2 linked regions of the Bombyx mori genome follow. The protein of the gene in region 1 interacts with the protein of each later gene in a pairwise test. Links are inferred from orthologs where the notes say so. Each region holds a gene or a part of one and is shown on either strand. Other genes may lie near its edges.

Region 1 (9,132 bases):
GAGAATCAAAAATGAAGAAAAAACAGGAACAAAAGTGCTTTGCGTCTTTGTAATATAGCATAGAGCTGTGTCAATCTAGATTTCAAAAATTCAAAGATAATTTTTACAACACTTATGAACTAAAAATATAAACCAACGCCATTAATATTTTGACCATTTTCAACTAATATACATATTTTGTCATTACTTAAAATTTAATAAACATATTTAAATAAATTGTCTTATTTGGTGTTTTATTCGTGTTTCACGTAATTTAAAATAGCTTTATAGTCGCTTTTAGACTTAAAATAGTGCTGGATCAAAGTGCAGCAATAATATCGTGAAAATAATATAATTTTATAAGCGTTGTAATGTAGTGCAGGCAAAATTGTGTTTCAAATAAAAGGCGATGTATGATTGATTTAACTGAACGCAATGTCGGAAGTAGGATTTTTTATTTTGAACTGTGTAGTAAAAGTAAAAAAAAGGCCAATTAAAATATTTTTTAAATGAAGGTATTCTGGGGTTCGATTTAAATACAGTTGACAGTTTAATCTTGTTTTTATGGTATCACTAAATAGTATAGAACAAAGTCGCTTTCTCTGTCCTTATATCCCTATGTATGTATCTTTAATGTATCTTTAAAACTACGCAACGGATTTTGATGCGGTTTTTTTTAATAGATACAGTGATTGAAGAGGAAGGTTTATATGTATAATAACAATTATTAAATAGTGGAGAAATCAATAATAAATTACAGTTTCTGAAGGGTCGCTGGTACTCTATAAATGACAAGGATCAGAAAATGTGATACGAGATTTAACCGTCAAACTGTATCCAATCACGTCTCCAACTCAAAGTAAAGCACTTGGAGTTAAGAGTTTCGATTGTGCAGTGGAGGGTTTGGGCAGTTCAGGGCGGGATTGTCGAGACGCCGGGCCCCCTAGATGTAGGAGTAGGGCCCGTCGGTGAGGGCGCTGCACAGCAATAGTCAGGAGGCGTCGTCCTTGGGGGCGGGCGCGGCGCGGCGGGATGCGCGGTACTCCACGCCCGGGTCGAACTGCATCAGCACGAACACCTGCAAGCAGACCGCACTCACGCGTCTGGAGCCCGCCGCTGCTATATCCTAAGGCAGCGGTCGGGGAACCGGGGTGAATTACCCCAAATGGGGTAAAATGAAATTTTGGGGGGTAAAAATGAAACTTTTGCGAGTACAACTTTTTTACTGGTGATAGGACCCCTTGTGGGTCCGCGGGGGTGGGTACCACCACCCTGCCTATTTCTGCCGTGAAGCAGTAATGCGTTTCGGGAGGGTGGGGCAGCCGCTGTAACTATACTTGAGACCTTAGAACTTATATCTCAAGGTGGGTGCCGCATTTACGGTGTAGATGTCTATGGGCTCCAGTAACCAATTAACACCAGGTGGGCTGTGAGCTCGTCCACACATCAAAGCAATCAAAGCAATAAAAAAAAAAGATTACTAACTTGGTCGGTGGGCAGCAGCGAGAAGTCGTCGGGGGGATTAGTGATGACGTAGCGCTTGCTGCTCGCGTCGCACGAGGACGAGGTGTCCCGGAACCTGTAGAGGCCGATGCACAGCATCCCGTACGTGCTGAGGGCGGCCACGAACAGGTCCCCGTACTTGCCGGCCTCTCCGAACTGGGCCAGGGGACCGTCGTAGAGGGATATCTGGCCCACTCTACACCGGTCTCTGTTGGAAACGATTGATCAATAAATATACATAATATATATATATAATAAATAATTTTTACTGGTGGTAGGACGTATTGTGAGTCCACACGGGTAGATACCACCACCCTGCCTATTTCTGTCGTGAGGCAGTAATGCGTTTCGGTTTGAAGGGTGGGGCAGCCGTCGTAACTATACTGAGAACTTAGAACTTATATCTCGAGGTGGGTTTTACGTTGTGGCCCACAGATATCCACATTTACGTTGTGGATGTCTGTGGGCTTCAGTGACCACTTAACACCGGGTGGGCTGTGAGCTCGTCCACCCATCTTAGTCCTACCATCTAGGTCCTACCACCAGTGATTTCAATGTTTTCGTTTTTAACGATGCGAATTTGAAAAGTCGTTTTGAGATCATCGAGTTTGGTATTTGTTTAGTGAGTAGTGCGGAGACCTGTTGGCCAGACTCTCGGGCGTGGAGTACCCGCCGCGGAGCCCGGCACCTTCGGCGAGGATCAGCTCCAGCTCGGGGGTCGCGCCGCCCGTTATCAGCGAACGGATCAGTGTCAACGCGTTTTGGTTGAAGTACGTCTGCAAGTTCGAAATTGGTCAAACTTTGGGAAACCCGACTAAAGATTCATAGATTTGCATAACATTAATGGTAATGTTAATTTAATTATCATTTCCGATTTCGGGAGTCGTAGACATAAATAAAACGATTTTTGCGATTTAATCTCGCGTTTATTTTTGTCATTGTTATCGAATACTTTGCGGTTTCCGTACGCCGTTACGTTCCGTTCCGTTTACGCCTTACATATCATGTGATTTATTATCTATGGGTTACGGACTGAGATGTTGTTCTTTGACATTTGATTATTGTGACATCTGTCAATAAATTAATGCTGCAAAAACGTTCAGTGACTCGATTAACAATATTCACGTTTTGGTCACATTGAATTAGCCGCGGAATATCCTACAAATTTTGATATATTTCGATGGAAGATTAAAATGCTGATTTAGCCAAGTCTTACAGTGGACATGAGAGAGTCGAGTACGCTGACGGCAAACGCAGTGCCGCAGGCAAACGGTTGCGTCAAGTACAGCTCCGTGTCGGGGTCGTCGTCGTCGTCCTGGTCTAAGAACTGCACGTTGCTATCGTTCACCAGCTCTGATGAGCAGAAAGAATATCATTATTTTCAAATGGCACTAGACGAGGTCGGAGACTCACTTGTATACTCGACCGCTCCGCGTCATAAATAGGCAGAATAGTAGTAGATACGTGGGTAGACTGGGGAAAAATTGGTACCCGCTCGCAGGATTTGAACTTTGGTATAGTTGCATCTTATCGTATCGTATGTTCTTTCACCTCATTAAAACTACTTAATTAACATTAACATAATTAATCTTTCAAAATCACACGACGAGTGGCACATTAGGCTATCAGTCTACATCACTTAGGCGAAAATCCAGCGATATTCCTCCCACAAAAAAAAACGCTTCTAAAATTTTTCAAAAATGACACTATATTATATTAATATTCTAGAATTATGTCCTCACATACTGCGGTCAGTGTACCTGTAATCATAGGTACATTAGCACCGTATACGGATCCCCTCCTCTGTAGCAGCACGGGCGCGGGGGGCTGGCCCGGCAGCGGCTGCGCGTTGCTGCCGTTGGCCCCCGCGCCGGCGCTGAGCACTCCTATCGTGTCGTCGAACGTCATCGCCTTGATGTTCAACGAAGCCAAGATAGCTTCCTTGTCCGCCAGTGTAGGGTCATCGTTCGATGGCACCTTCGCTGACAGGATACAGCACATGTCGCATAGGTTCACGTTTACTGCACGCAAGTCGGCCCGGCTTAGCGGTGAACCCTAAACAAATATACCGAACGATCATTGTTGACTGTCAACTTCAGCTGTTCAATTTAGCATGCTGATTCGTAGACTTGAAGATAATCAACTTGGCATTGACCGGGAATTAAGTGCTATCAATATCTTTATATATTATTTTGGTGGTTTTCTTTTCCTGGTTGTTTGGTCGTCAAATATCGCATGACAATATTAGTCTTCTTTGCAATTCGCCACTCAAGCAAATGAAATATGAGGTATGGCTAGAAACCCAGAGCGAATCTATGTTATAAGTAAACCGTTTAGAAGTAATTACATTATGATCGCGTAGATTGAGACAGATTTAAACAGGATCATAACCTCACAAAAACTAATGCTCGTTAAGGATACTCACATTCAATACAGATATCTTCGGAAGATTCTGCAACATTTTCCATTCTCTTCGTATGTAGTCGACGCTTCCTACGATAACCACGTGTTTCAACTCGTGGTAGTGGAAATTGGAGGCTCTTAGCGGCATCACGAGATTCCTCAAGCCGATCAGTGGCGAGTCTGGATCCGCGAATAGACACACGACAACGTGACCATTTAGAACCGTCATAGCCGCTTGGTTTCTGTCCTGTTGAGATTTTCTTTATTTAATTTACGGTATCGGTAATTTAATATTGAACATTTTTTCGATAAGCATAAGGTTTGGTGAATTTCACTGGTCTATCTGGGCCCGGGTTTAATGCTGAGCGGTCAAATTCTCCATAGGGATTAAATTATATATGAACATTCAATTAGTACGTAATGCTTTTAAATTAATTTGTTAGAGTGATAATTAGGTAAAACTCAAAGCTCTACTTACTAATATACAATCTTCAAGATTCCTGGCAGGGCTCCAATGGAACATGCCTGTTGAGTCGTATTTCATTTCAGTCTTTTCAAAGTCGAAGTCTTTCGACTGGTCGTCTGCCAATCCAGCAGGCAGACTAACTCCATTGCTGTTCTGATTACCCCCACTGCTTCTGCTAGTAGGCCTGTCGAGTCATCCAAAACATTATTCCTTTCTCGATTTCTATATCTCTAACGAATTTCGTGCTAAATTGCGGGTGATAAAACTTAAATTTTATGTAAATTCAAACATGATTACTTGCTTTATTTTTAACGTGGAATTTTTTTAGTTTTATTATTTTATTTCATGCACTGTGGTCATATACTATAGTCAATGTATTGTGAAGAAGATCGTGGTACCTACTAATGTAGTAATAACAGTATAATATAGACTACGCAATTTATGTATTAATAATGTACTCGATCGGTGACTGTACTGTTTTAAACATAGCGAGAAAACGTGAAAAAAAACGTAATGCCTATTTATAAAAGTCTAAACAGAAATTATTTCTGAACTAAACTTTCGTATTTCTATAAAACCAAAACATGCTATGCTCCTAGATAACAGTGCTAAATAATATGAGTAATAAATTTTATATTACAAACCTTTCATATTTATCTACAATTACATGAAACGGGGGTAAACGTGACATAAGCTCTACGTACTACGGAAATTTCTGGAATACAACAAAAAAAAAACAAAAAAAAACGGTAATGTGTACAGGAGAAGTAATTGTATCGACAAATTACTTTTCTATTTTTATCTATTGATTATTTTACTCGAAGTGTATCTTCAATTTAATTAAAATTAAATTTATAGTTTAATCCCGCGTTTTTTTTAAATTTAATTATTATATGTAGGATGTATGATTACATTACAGTGTTCGTAGTTCCGAACATCTAAGGTGTCAGGCGTCAGCATTTGGCTCCCGTCACGTGTCAGTAATCATAAAATGACATTAAAAAACGCGGGATTAAGCCGTTCAAGTTAATTTTGGTTATGTCTCCGACCCGTGAAATCCGAAGAAAATGCTGCTACATCTTCAATTCCATAGAATTCATTGTTAATTGTTTTTATTAGGACTTTATTAAGACACGTTTTTTTTACTTAATGTTCTTCGAATTTATTATTCTGCGCCTTCGCCTGTACTGGTACCATTTTACAAACGAAAAGTACTAAAATTCGATACAGAGCCAAAACTACTGAGTCAAGAAATCGTCTAGCTTTTTATATAATTTATTTGAGTTACATGAGCTTTTTCACTTCGTAGGCAAGGTGATAGGCCTGGTAATTCGTGTCTTGATCTTGAGGATTCCTGTAATAGACACCAAATAGGTCTAATCTTAAAGGTGTAGTTGTGCAATAAATTTAAGCTGAACGAAAACGGAATCATTTTGTTTTTAAATTAATTAATCAATGTATGTTAAACTTAGATATATGGTAAATATATTTTCAAGAAATTATATAGGCTCTTCGATTTGATAAGTGGAAGGTTTGCTTGAGATATTCGCGTAACAATTAATATCAAATCTTCGAATTTTAATACCGGAACTCTGTTTTATTTAAAACCGGCTAGACAGTATAATATTTCTCTTTTTACTCCTTCTCATTAATATCTTTTTATAGTTCTTTCTTAGGAAATTAAATAAAAAATACACATATCGAACCAATCAAAGCACGGAGCAGCTTTAACAGTTATTCAATAGAACATGCTATTTTCTAAGTTAATTTATAGATATAGCGTGTTATCTGCTATTAACGTGTGTCCTGTCATCGGGTAATAAATTTAAAAAAAAGCAGCTAAAATAATAGCAGTTTATAGCAGGTTATCATAAACACTAATATTTCGTGTGCTCTGTGCTCTTGTTCTAATAAGGGTTCAAATTACACATTGAGGTCAAGCTTCAATGGGACAAACTTAGAAAAAACAACTTAATTCATCATTTTAAGTTTAATAATTTATTTTATGACCATAGCTGTTTTTAGAATGCTGACAATATTAAAATAAAACAAAACATCGATCAAGCAAATAACAGTCATGTAAGCTTTAGAGCATCTTTCATCTTTCAGATTAATGACAGTAATTGCTACGTATAATTATGTTGAAATCATACTAAACTTAAGTGGTTGAAATTCACCTTTTTTTTATTGCCCTTGTTAGGTTAGGTAACCATTTTTTTTTTAATGTAACTAGTTACCTAACAACTAGGTTAGGTTAGGTCTTATTTGACGTTATGAAAGATTCTCTAAACAGTTTTTTTTAATAGTTAACAAAAAACAGTTAACATTACAATAGGGTCTTTAAACTGTCATTAGGTTAGCTGATTTCAATTTGTGCTCTATGTTGTTGTTTATTAACGTCTGTTTGTGGTTTTTATTTATTATCTAAGTACAAGACATTAATACAGTATTTACGGGTGTATCGTAGGACTTTTAGAACCTAAATCATTTCCTTGCATGTTTTACGGAAGTGTACATTTTACGATTCCGATTCTCGGCTCCGATTATAGTTTATAATAGTTTTAGTCTGGTTTGTTGGATACAGTGTAATTTACCAGTATATTAATAGAGTGAGTGAGGATCTATAGAGTCTTATTTTTTATCAAAACTTTTCAGTCGCTTTTCATTCCTGAAATACATAATTTTTTAATATATTATTTTTTCCAATAACTTTCAAAATATAATTTTCAAGAAAATATGCTCATCATAAACAAAAAAAATTGTTCGTATATTGTATAGATTGTCGTCGTAATAATATATGGATGCCTATCATTCACCCGTAGTGACAATATTAATTTATTTCCCGCCTATCCTTTCCTAGCTGGATTTCGACAAGGCAATGCCGAAAATTAAAAAAAAATCCAAAAGGGTTCCACAACCTCTGTCGTACGACTAGGAAATGCCAGATATTACGTAGGAGGTAGTCAGACTAGACGTGAAAGAAATTAAGCCAACTGTAACAACGACAGGGATGGGATGGGAATACAGGTGCAGACATCACCCGGCGGGCGACAATGGCGAATCAAATAAGACTTACGTATCGGGCGGTACTCGATTGACGTTCGGCTTTACTTTGTTGACTTGCCGAGTCGTCGTCGTGTTCACCAGCTGGTTCGCCATTGGAGACAGCATCGCCGTCGGCGCGTTCCGATGGTTGCGATTTATTACTTTGTCGAAAAATAATTAACGTTAAATTAATGTTAAGCTTTTATAACGCTTATCTTCCGTGCTGTTTTTTTGTCGTTTTGTGCCATAATCTAATTATAAACCATTAATTGGACCTGTTATTATGTATCTATGTAATTATGTTTTATATTAATTAATAATGCAACACCGGACACGTGTGCAAGTTGAGCATTCTGGATCCAAACCAGCCTTTGGGATAAGGTAGTTTGCACATTCATTTTAATTTTTTTGTTTTATTATTATCATTATTTTATTCCTAAATTGTTGTTTTTGTTTTTATTTTATTTTGTGTTCTATGTGAAATGTTATTCTATTGTTATTGAATGTAATATGAATTCCAGATCGAAGTAAATGAAATAAATAATTAAAAAATTAAAATCTATGTCGTGTTACTCAATTGAAGACTTGATTAAATATCGGTTTAATATACATAGCAGCTTTCCAAATGAAAGACAATCTTCTCATATATATTTTTTTACGGAATATTTAAGGAAGAAAACCTTTTTGTACTATATTGCTACAGAATATTCATATCAGAATTGTTTTCTCCCTAGTGCGTTCTATTTTATTCGTACAATTATACAAAAAATGTCTACTACTTTATACAATAGTTAATGTAAAAGGTCTCCTAACAATGTTATTGACTTAACTTTACAAATTCACGGTTGAGGTTTTCCTACAAGAATCTCTACTGTCACGGTAGATTAATAACAACGTAATGCATGTAGGTACTTACAGTTTGTATCTTCCCCCCTTTCGCGGGCGATTTCGCCTGAAAACAGGAGGAACTTGATTAGAAGCTAAAATCATTGATTTTCAGGTACCTACAAAATTAGGTACATCCCAAATAGAAAGGCTTTATAGCTATAATGCATCTATATAATTGGATTGGGATGATAAGTGACATCAGCTGTAACTTATTGGTTATTGATTTCAAATTGAAATACTTAATAAGTTTTTAATTTATTTTCTACTAAGATTCTTTCATTTATCTTTTGAATTTTTCTTTATTTGATTATGGTTAAAGAAAATATTTAATTAGAATATTTAATACAGGCAACATTTCGTCATTCAATAACACTACAACGAAAGCATAACATTAAAATACTGCTGCCAGTAATCGATTTAAAGTATTAACATGCATTCTTGGATAAAGGGCAAGTATACATGAATTGTATTATGTATAATAAAAAAATATTTATTATTAAGGAGTACTAATAAATTTATTTCGAAAAGTACCGAATAAGAAATAAATCCATTAATTGGCAACAATAGCTAAACAAGTAATAGTGCGGGCACCATTTACGAGCGAATGCTTTTCCATGATACATGTGTGATGCACGGCAAAGGGATACAAACCACAAATGATAAAATACATCCGCTTTAGAGTTTACCAAGAAGCACATATCAATGGAGAAAATTGTTCATTAACTTCAAAATCACGAAATGCGAATGCAAACGTAACAGAAAATGATCTAGGTTAGGTTTCCTAACAAAGATTGGTTGGTTTCAAACGAGCTGTTTTTGGAATGAGCTTCACTTGCAAAAGCGACAGG
Region 2 (9,838 bases), on another chromosome or scaffold:
CTCGCTCATGGTATGGTTGAGAGTTTCTTATTGGGGCTTAACAGAGGTACATTTTTGTGAGAAAGGTGTAAAAACGAATGCAGTTGTGTATCAAAATACAGTCCTGACGAACCTTGTGGTACCTGTTTCTCATACCATGTTCAATAACAGGCACTGGGTATTCCAACAAGATTCGGCACCAGTTCATAGAGCGAAGAGCACACAAGACTGGCTGGCGGCGCGTGAAATCGACTTCATCCGGCACGAAGACTGGCCCTCCTCCAGTCCAGATTTGAATCCGTTAGATTACAAGATATGGCAACACTTGGAGGAAAAGGCGTGCTCAAAGCCTCATCCCAATTTGGAGTCACTCAAGACATCCTTGATTAAGGCAGCCGCCGATATTGACATGGACCTCGTTCGTGCTGCGATAGACGACTGGCCGCGCAGATTGAAGGCCTGTATTCAAAATCACGGAGGTCATTTTGAATAAACTTTAGTGTCATAAGAATCTATGTTTTATTAAGTTCATTTTGGTATATGAATGGTTACATAATGAATAAACTTGTTTCAATTATTTTACATTAAACATGTGACAGAATTTATGACCTGACTATATATGTAAATGTGCTAATAAATAAATACAATGTATGCCAATGTAGGTACTTGCTATTTTACTAATATACATACATATAATAATAATAATAAATAATAAAAATCATTTATTGCCTTTCACATCACAGAAAATAAAATGGAATACAAATAAAAGAAAAGAAAAAAAAAAGAGAAAAAGGCAAAAGGAGGTGGCTCAGCTATTGTAATATATAACTATAATATAAATAGGTATATTATAGGTACCTATATGCTTTATGACATTTATGACACGGTGAGGAAGTATCCATAAATAGTCGAAGGTAAAATTGCTAAGTACCATTTTCTCCTGTGTTTTTCAAATGATTCCCTTTTTTATTTGTTTTCTTTTGTTGTGTGTTTGTTCACTATTGACGATTTAGCACTATTATTAAACAATGCAAGGAAGAGTTAGTTCCTTATTCAAAATGTCAATAAGAAAAGCGAAAATTTACCACATAAATTGAATCTAAATCTTGAAATGACAGTGATTATGGTGGAATTTCAATCATTTCGCCAACATTTTTTTTTCTATATAAGTGGTGTTTAGTAGCTACCGAGGTCGATAGACACCAACCATGAGGTCGAAGCGTAACTTGAGGTCTAAGCTTCGATTCACAATATATTGTAGACCGTAAGACTCGTGTAATATCAAGTATCCTACTCTACAAATTAGAAGATATGGCACAATAAGCCCTAGCACCCGAACTTGATGTAGGAATTTCGATAGTAAGTAAGGAGTATCACTTGTATCGACGAATGGTGTAAAATGCTCACATGTAGTGGCTTAAGGATTCCGTACTACGGAGTATCCAATTTACAGATAAAAAGGTTGCTATTTAAGACAGGCGTAGGTCAGGCTATTTGGTCATGTAAACTACTAAGAACTCTTAGGTGGAACTTACATGACATACCGTTCCATCCATAATTCTAGAACTTAATGGAACGGTTATGAACTCAACAATTTCAAATTATTTGTAATAAATGTGATGGTAGAATGCAGATCAATTGACAAAATCATAGTTTTTGCGTAACTACTAATCGTACGGTTAGGTTCTTCTACATCTTGTCGTGAATGTTAGTAATGTGTTCCAGTTTGAAGGGTTAAACAGCCTTCATAGAATATAATTGAGACTACAACCGCATGCCTCAAAATGAGTCGCCTTATTCACTTTGTCATGTCTATGAGCTTTAGTACCCTCCTACACTAGGTGGGCCGTGAGCTAATTCGCCATTTCTAATTTGATGTTCCATCAGGTATCAGCAAGTGAGCAACGGACACGAACCAGTCGTGGAAGAACGTCATCGCCAATCGAGTCAGAGCCGGCAGAATTTACCGTGCAGCCGTCAATGCAGCGGCCTCGTCAGGTACGAGAACTATGTCGCCAACTACTGGCCCTGATTATAATTAAGTACATTTACGTTTCTCTCGCATGTCTTACTCACTAACCGGATCAATAGAAACGATGGGTACGTAACTTATCATAACCAATCTGAGTGACGTTCTTTGCTAGTGTTTTGCTAATACATACTATTATATAATAAAATTATGTATGGTAATCGCAACAAACAAATATCTGTAAAGTCAACAGTGGTCAGAATTTAGTAACATAATTAGTTCGAATTCGTAATTTAAATATTCTTTCTGTGATTTATTTTCAATCTCATATATGGTTGCATTAATTATGTTGATAAATTTTAAAATGGTTAAATTGACTTCAGTTAGAAAACATTGTTTATTTTTAATTCTTTTCATAGAACCAAGAGTCAAAAGATTTTGCTCTTACGCCTGGCATAAACATACAATAACATTTTCTATGCCTGAATGAATTTACATATATTAATTAGATTAAGATTGCACATGTGGATTTTCCATTTGGTAAATATGACGCTCTAACCATCAGATTTTTCAGATCAGCTTAAAAGGCCATATTATTATTATCTGATGGTTTCGATTCAATTAGTAATTATTTATGGTTTATTTGTTTTCAACAGCAACAAGATTAGCGAACTGGTCCGGAACTCTCGTAAGGCGGAGCCTCCGAAGCCCGTATACAATATCACTCACGATCCGGAATCAACACTACGAAAGATCCTTCGCAACTCCCCGCAAATACTTGCAACGCCGATGTTCAGTTCTGATGACGATTACACCGAAGGCCCGTTTAGATTTAAACAGCTACTGAGGCCCACACTGGGACCTACGGAGAGCTTGCGGAAGAGAAAGGTCAGGAATTCACCAGGACAGAGCCCCTGGATGTCTGACAGTTCGCAAGAGAGTGTCAACCCTAAGCAGGCCTTCAATAAACGCCGTCCCCAAATTTGTATGGGCGTCTATTATAATTAAGCAATTGTGGCGCATTGCAGTATTCATAGTGAAATAATAAGTTGTCAAGTACGGTGTGTACTATCGTGTACAATATCATTACTTTTTTGTGTGTTTCAAATACATGTTCTTAAGATTAAATTTAATACGACAAAAAAATCAGAACTTTTCTTAGAAAAAATACTTCGAATGAGTTTTAAAAAATCATTTTGTGCTGATTAAAAAAAAATTACATCACCTAATTAGATTCAGATTTTAAATATTTTGCATTTAGTTACGTGATATTTTTTTATTGCCCTTGTAGGCATTCGAACATATGGCCCACCTGATGTTGAGTGGTTACCGCCGCCCATAGATTTCAGCAATGCCAGGGGAAGAGACAAATCGCTGCCTACTGATACTTTATATTATACTTTTTACTTATATATTATACTTTATACTAAATATTATTATACATTATTCAAAAACTAAGTTTTTTTCTTCTTCTCAATTAGCAATTTATTTGTTTATTTAAATTACCTCAACCATACTGATATATTACTGAATAAGAAATTTGGAAAAAATAAAATCAATTGGTATCGTTGAAATTTATATTCTAAAATTTGTGTTGTTTTTGTATTAGACTATTTAATTTTTGCTGACTTTCATATCTTGAATCATCATACTAAATTCATCGGTTTAGCAATAATAAGATATTAAGAAATAAATGTACTTAATAAAATACATTAAAATCATGTATATTATAGTTATATAGTGACATAAGTTCTTAATACTATAACTAATAATGAAACACCTTGCTAATATTTTATAAACATTTTTGTCGTTAATTACAAATACCAAAGTTATGTTTAAAGAATATTTTTATGAAAATATGTTGATATTATACGCTTTATCATTGCGGGAATATCGAGAAGTAAATCATTGACGACTATTGTGATAACGTGCCAATGATTATTTTAATAAGAAAACGTTTTGCTCGCGTAGTTTGAAAAAGTATGTGAAAAAATAAAATTAATCCTTAAACTGTGTTTTATTATTTACTTTCCTTTTATCGATATTCGATTAATACATCAGAAACAACAGCAAAGAATGGACGCGCACGTGTTCGTCGGTCAGTCAAAAGTTGCAGTGTAACAACATCGGAAGCGTATAACAATATGAAAACACGTACGCGTAAGTTCATACGTAATCAAAACAAAGTGAAGCACGTGAAGCTAGGAGTATTTAGATGCTAGTTGATTGTAAACGATAGCCAGGTGGCGGGCGGCGGAGGCGGAGAGGTGGCCAATGAGGGCGGCGCGGAATATTGCGCGCGCACACGCGCAGTCGCGCCCGCGCCAGCCATGGCGGCCGCCGGCCTGCCTGATCTCGACCTCAGACAGATAAAAACGCGATCCATCGAGAGAACTCTGCTCCCCCTCATTAAACAGGTACGGTACGCCTCCTACCGACCCCCAGACGTCACCTTCCTACCTCAGGCGGTTGCTTCGAGGTCTGTGACGTTCCTGATTACCGACAGAACACGTCTACGACACTGATCTGACGTCGCGTGGAGCTTTTACGATATCTAGTTTTACGTACCTCGTCTAAATTCGTAGTATTATTTTCGGAACTAAAGCGATTTAGAGCGTGTCGTCGCTTTGACGTTTCACTTTAGAATTTCCCGCCCGTCGCAACTATCTGTTGCGTTCAGTCGCGCAATCGCCTTGCGAGAGTTCACGGACGGCGGCGGATTCGAATGGACGGAGCATAGTTTGATACTTCGACTGGGCAGATTTCTATGACAATAGCCATTATTTTTAAGACTTCATTGTGGTGATATTTGAATTAGAAAATTCGAAAAGGTAAGAAAAAAAATCATCACGTACGTCAATTTGTTTGGTACTTAATCAGTGCTGATAAAGTGCTGAGGGCGGGCGGCCACGTGGGTATTGAACGGGCGGGGGCGGGGGTTGTGGATCGATGCCTGACGGGCCGGCAGTGCCGCGGCGAACGCGGGCGGAGCGGCTCGGTGCCGACACGGCAACGTCACGGAGCACGTGCGCGCGCCCGCGGACAGCGCGCCGTCGAGCGCGCGCCCACCGCCCGCGCGTCACGCGCTCTCTCTCTTGCGACATGGACGTGCTTTCCGATGACGATGAATACGCGCGCCGCGAACGACAGGTAGGCTCTTCCTTAATGAAACGAAACTTCTACTATGAGCTCCTGCATCGTTTTAACACGATCAGTTGTCGTGGTCTTACCCTGATAAAATACAAGCAGCAACAAGTAGCGGCATGTGGGTAATTTTCTACGACGACGTCAAACGGAGTATTACAGACCTAGCGTTGCTCGTATCCCGGGCAAATCATGCAAATGAAAAGTAGATCTTAGACTAGACTACTTTGTCTAGATTATATAACAAAAAAAAACTTAATAGAAAACTTTTTTGTTTTCCTTACATTAAACTTGAGCGTATAAATGTAGAGCATGTTTTTTTGTAAAGCTATTTTTTTAAAGTACTTTGCAAAATTAGATTATTTTTGGCTTATATGTATTACAGCTATCACATTTTATAATCTTACTAGCGACCCGCCCTCGCTTCGCTTCGGAAACATTATAACACACAGGAAACAAAAAAAAAAAATTTAAAAAAGTAGCCTATGTTCATCAGGGACAATGTCGGCTTCTAATGGAAAAATAATTTTTCAAATCGGTCCAGTAGTTTCGGAGCCTATTCGAAACAAACAAACAAACAAATCTTTCCTCTTTATAATATTATTAGTTTAGTATATTAGTAAGTATAGATTATAGTAAAACTACATCTAAACAACATTTTTTTTATTTAAAAAATATTTCACCTATTTAAAGAATTCCGAAAATTGCATTTATAATATGACCAACATGTAAGCCAATCTAAAAGTTTTATAAATTTTACTTACTTTCGCAATTCTTCAAATTAAAAAATAAGTTCGTCGCTACACGAACACCGTGAGAATGTATCGAGTGCTTATTTAATAATAAAACTACAAATGCTCGCCATCATTTAAAAAGTTTGGATAATAATCGCCTTTTATGTAATGTTAGAGCCGTTTACAAAAAATCGTACTATTGACTAAGAATTTTTGTAATAATTCAAAACAAAACCTACATTTACTCATGAGCTTTCATGAGAGAGTAATTGTATTGTATATTGTAAATTACCTTTTTTTTTTATTGCTTAGATAGGTGGACGAGCTCACAGCCCACCTGGTGTTAAGTGGTTACTGGAGCCCATAGACATCTACAACATAAATGCGCCACCCACCTTGAGATATAAGTTCTAAGGTCTCAGTATAGTTAGTATAGTTATAACGGCTGCCCCACCCTTCAAACCGAAACGCATTACTGCTTCACGGCAGAAATAGGCAGGGTGGTGGTACCCACCCGCGCGGACTCACAAGAGGTCCTACCACCAGTAAAAAGACTTTCATGAATCGGTTTTGGCTCACGACATTTATCTTTGTTTACCACGTATTCGTCTGTGCCAGACAGACACTGTGAGTAAGGTCTCGTTGTTTTATGTTATACTCTTATTAATTACTAAAGAAAATATTTTTATTCACTAAATACAACGTGTAGTTAAGACTATTACGCAATTAAAAAGATCAATTTTGCAATATTTGTATAATGAACGATGCTACTTCATAAAGCAAATACGGCAAATACGTTTTTCACATTGAGTTATCCCACCAATAATGAATTGACTTTACATTTTTTTATTAACTTTTTCTTAACTGGCTTAGAGAACAAAAATATGCAGACAAAATGATCAGCACAAGCTGATTGATTACAATACAATACGGTACTAAAAACACACACCACCAAATGTTTTTAAGACTATCAAGCACAAATAAACAAAACATTTGATATATTTAAGATATTTACGATTCAATCTCACATTGATTATTTTTATTTTACAATTTCAGATTGTTTAATACTCAACAGTTTTCGTGCTCAAGGGCTAGGATTTTTTTTTGCTTAGATGGATAGACGAGCTCACAGCCCACCTGGTGTTAAGTGGTTACTGGAGCCCATAGACATCTACAACGTAAATGCGCCACCCACCTTGAGAAATGAGTTCTATGAGTCTCAGTATAGTTACAACGACTGCCCCACCCTTCAAACCGAAACGCATTACTGCTTCACGGCAGAAATAGGCAGGGTGGTGGTATCTACCCGTGCGGACTCACAAGAGGTCTTACCACCAGTAATTACGCAAATTATAATTTTGCGGGTTTGATTTTTATTACACGATGTTATTCCTTCACCGTGGAAGTCAATCGTGAACATTAATAGAAGTTATGTTTCTGTTTTTAATATTAATAATTATTATTAATTTCCGCGACTGGCCAAATCCAAAAGTTAAGAAAAAAAAACTATGTTTATTATTTCATTGCTGCGTAAAAGATAAAAGTCCAGTTTCATTATCTGTTGGTAACATTTCATATATTTTCATTGCACTAACTGGTAGACTGTTTAGAAAATGTCTTTCTATGTATTAATCAGCTATCGGTACCGCAGCGAATATTGTAATAGTTCTATGAGCACATATTTAGATGACATATTCTAGAAATTTCGAAAGAGGTAATATCTGATTTTATGAGATTCATATATTAGGGGTTAAATATGAAATTGCCGACTGGTACTGAAAAGTTGAAATTGGGTTTTTTTTTTCATTTAACATATTTATTTGATCAAAATATCTACCATTATTTTCTATACATTGCTGCCATCTAATAGGAAGGTCATTTATGCCTTTGCGATAGAACTCTGGTGATCTAGATTCTACAAACTATGTGAAAGCATTTTGTACTGCATCCTGGGAAGAAACCTTTTTATCACGTAGAAAATTATCCAAATAACGATAAAAATTGAAGTCTAGGTAGAAGCAAGGTCTGGCGAACACTGAGGGTGACGAATGGTTATTAATATCATACTTTAACCCCTTTTATACGGTTTTGTTCAATATGCGACTAGCAAAAAAGTAGAGTATATAAATAATAGTTTAAAATAACTAACAAAATACGCTTTTATAGAAAGTCCAACTAAAAAATAGAAAATAAATTTTAATTAATTTGAATTAAAAATAGTGCAAGAAAAAGCGATTTTATTGTAAAAAAAAGCGTGGGGTGCTTTTCAGGATATTATCAAAATAGTCCTTCTACTCATATCTGTTCATAAAATATTTATTACTACTGATACCATGCACCCCATGCATCTGTGTTTTAGTTGGATTTTCTATAAAAGCGTATTTGTTTAGTTTTTTTAAACTATTATTTATTTTTAAGTTGAATTTCAATTTTTTCAATGTATTTTTTATTATTATTTATTTTTTTATTTATGTACACACAAAAAAGAAGACATAGTACAGAGTAATAGGAAAATTATCTACAAAGGCACTGCTTATTTCTTTAAGAAATCTCTTCCAGCAGACCTGCGAGAGAATTATGAGAATAATAATTAAAAGTGATGAGTGTGTGTAGAACAGCTAAAATAACAAATACAACATGAGAATTATAGTAATGCACATACATACACATAGCAAATATTTTTAAACTTGAATACAAAATATTATAAGTAACACAGTAGGTATATACGAAGAGTATAGAGCAATGATCATTCGGTTGATGAGAGATAGAATTGTTTGACCTTGTATTTAAAAACAGAAACATTAAATATTTTTTATTTAATGTTGAATGTCATCGGTCCTTAATAAGTACACCTAATTTCCGACGTTCTAAAGGGGGTCAAAATCATGTTCAAAGATTCCGTTACATACTAACATACATATGTCTGAAGCTACTAATAAAAGCGTATTAAAAAGTGATAATTTCGCAACAGATCAGCAATCTCGTGGCGACGCGGAACGAAGCTGCTGGAGGCGGTGCGGCCGTGCAACGAGTGGGCGCCGCTGTCTGCTGCGCCGTGGAGCGCTTCGTGGCCGTCGGCGAGACCATCGCTGACGACAACCCCGATGTGAGGCACAACATGGTACTCGCCTGTAAAGAAGCTAGAGCAGCGGGTAACTATACATAAAAATACTACTAACGCGTTTCCTAAAAAAAAATTAAAGTTTTGTGGGACACCGGATAGCAACGAAGTTCCTTATTATAAAAATATTAATTTTAAGTTCTATTCGAGGTATAAAGAAAATAAAACAGGAGGTTTCGCAACAACCCACGGTCATTCGGTAACGTGCGAACTTATTGTGGTACACTTCATTCACGGTTGTTTGCATAAGAGTTAGTGTATTGCGTAAACGAACGCTCTGAGATCGTGATCAATGAATGATAAAAAAAATTGTTATTTTTTGTACGTTATTACAAAGTTAAGTCGCACACTGTGTGCATTACTAATTTGTACGTTATTACAAAGTTAAGTCGTATACTGTGTGCATTACTAATAAAAAAATTACGTTACGGACGTTTTTCCCGTTTATGGTACCCCTCCGCATCGTCCCATAAGGAACTTCGTTCCAAAAACTACACCGGACGGAACGGACAATTTGTACCGGTCGTTTCTGACACTCTTAATATCTAAATATTTCATTTTTTTTAAAAATGTGTGTAATGCATATGTGGTAGAAGTGAAACCTTCAAAAAGTTTGGCTTAAAGATAATGAGACGAATACAAAATTTCGGAAAAATGATAATTGTATAATAGGTTTTAGTAATGATCATAGTGATACAAAGTTAGATAATTATTTGAAATTTTATTCGTATATATTACACAGATTTATTCAGAATGTGTGAAATACGAATATTAGGTATGAAGCAGGGCACAAAGAGAACCACTAATATAAGAAACAGCTGTACAATGCTTTCTATCTCCTTTTCTCCCACGTTAAATATTATGAATTTAAGTGTTTGTCTCTTTTTACTG

Evidence for each region.
Region 2: the proteins of calcium-activated potassium channel slowpoke (region 1) and alpha-catulin interact in a two-hybrid assay, tested with the Caenorhabditis elegans proteins (2 studies listed by BioGRID, with this or other methods). The link is inferred for Bombyx mori from reciprocal best matches to the Caenorhabditis elegans genes slo-1 and ctn-1.

The regions. Positions count from the first base shown.
Region 1 is NC_085115.1:13,417,462-13,426,593, forward strand, and holds part of calcium-activated potassium channel slowpoke, read right to left. Parts: intron 8,349-9,132; coding exon 8,313-8,348; intron 7,558-8,312; coding exon 7,428-7,557; intron 5,706-7,427; coding exon 5,640-5,705; intron 4,536-5,639; coding exon 4,364-4,535; intron 4,133-4,363; coding exon 3,908-4,132; intron 3,538-3,907; coding exon 3,243-3,537; intron 2,836-3,242; coding exon 2,699-2,835; intron 2,259-2,698; coding exon 2,122-2,258; intron 1,691-2,121; coding exon 1,465-1,690; intron 1,058-1,464; coding exon 971-1,057; 3' UTR 1-970. UniProt on the Caenorhabditis elegans protein: Potassium channel activated by both membrane depolarization or increase in cytosolic Ca(2+) that mediates export of K(+). Its activation dampens the excitatory events that elevate the cytosolic Ca(2+) concentration and/or depolarize the cell membrane.
Region 2 is NC_085111.1:8,800,725-8,810,562, forward strand, and holds the start of alpha-catulin, read left to right. Parts: upstream 1-4,930; 5' UTR 4,931-5,050; coding exon 5,051-5,098; intron 5,099-8,797; coding exon 8,798-8,978; intron 8,979-9,838. Other genes in the region: myosin-IIIb, read left to right, coding at 1,867-1,977, 2,605-2,956. UniProt on the Caenorhabditis elegans protein: Required for slo-1 potassium ion channel clustering at presynaptic terminals and in egg-laying muscles; clustering of slo-1 mediates the intoxicating and sedatory effects of ethanol on worms.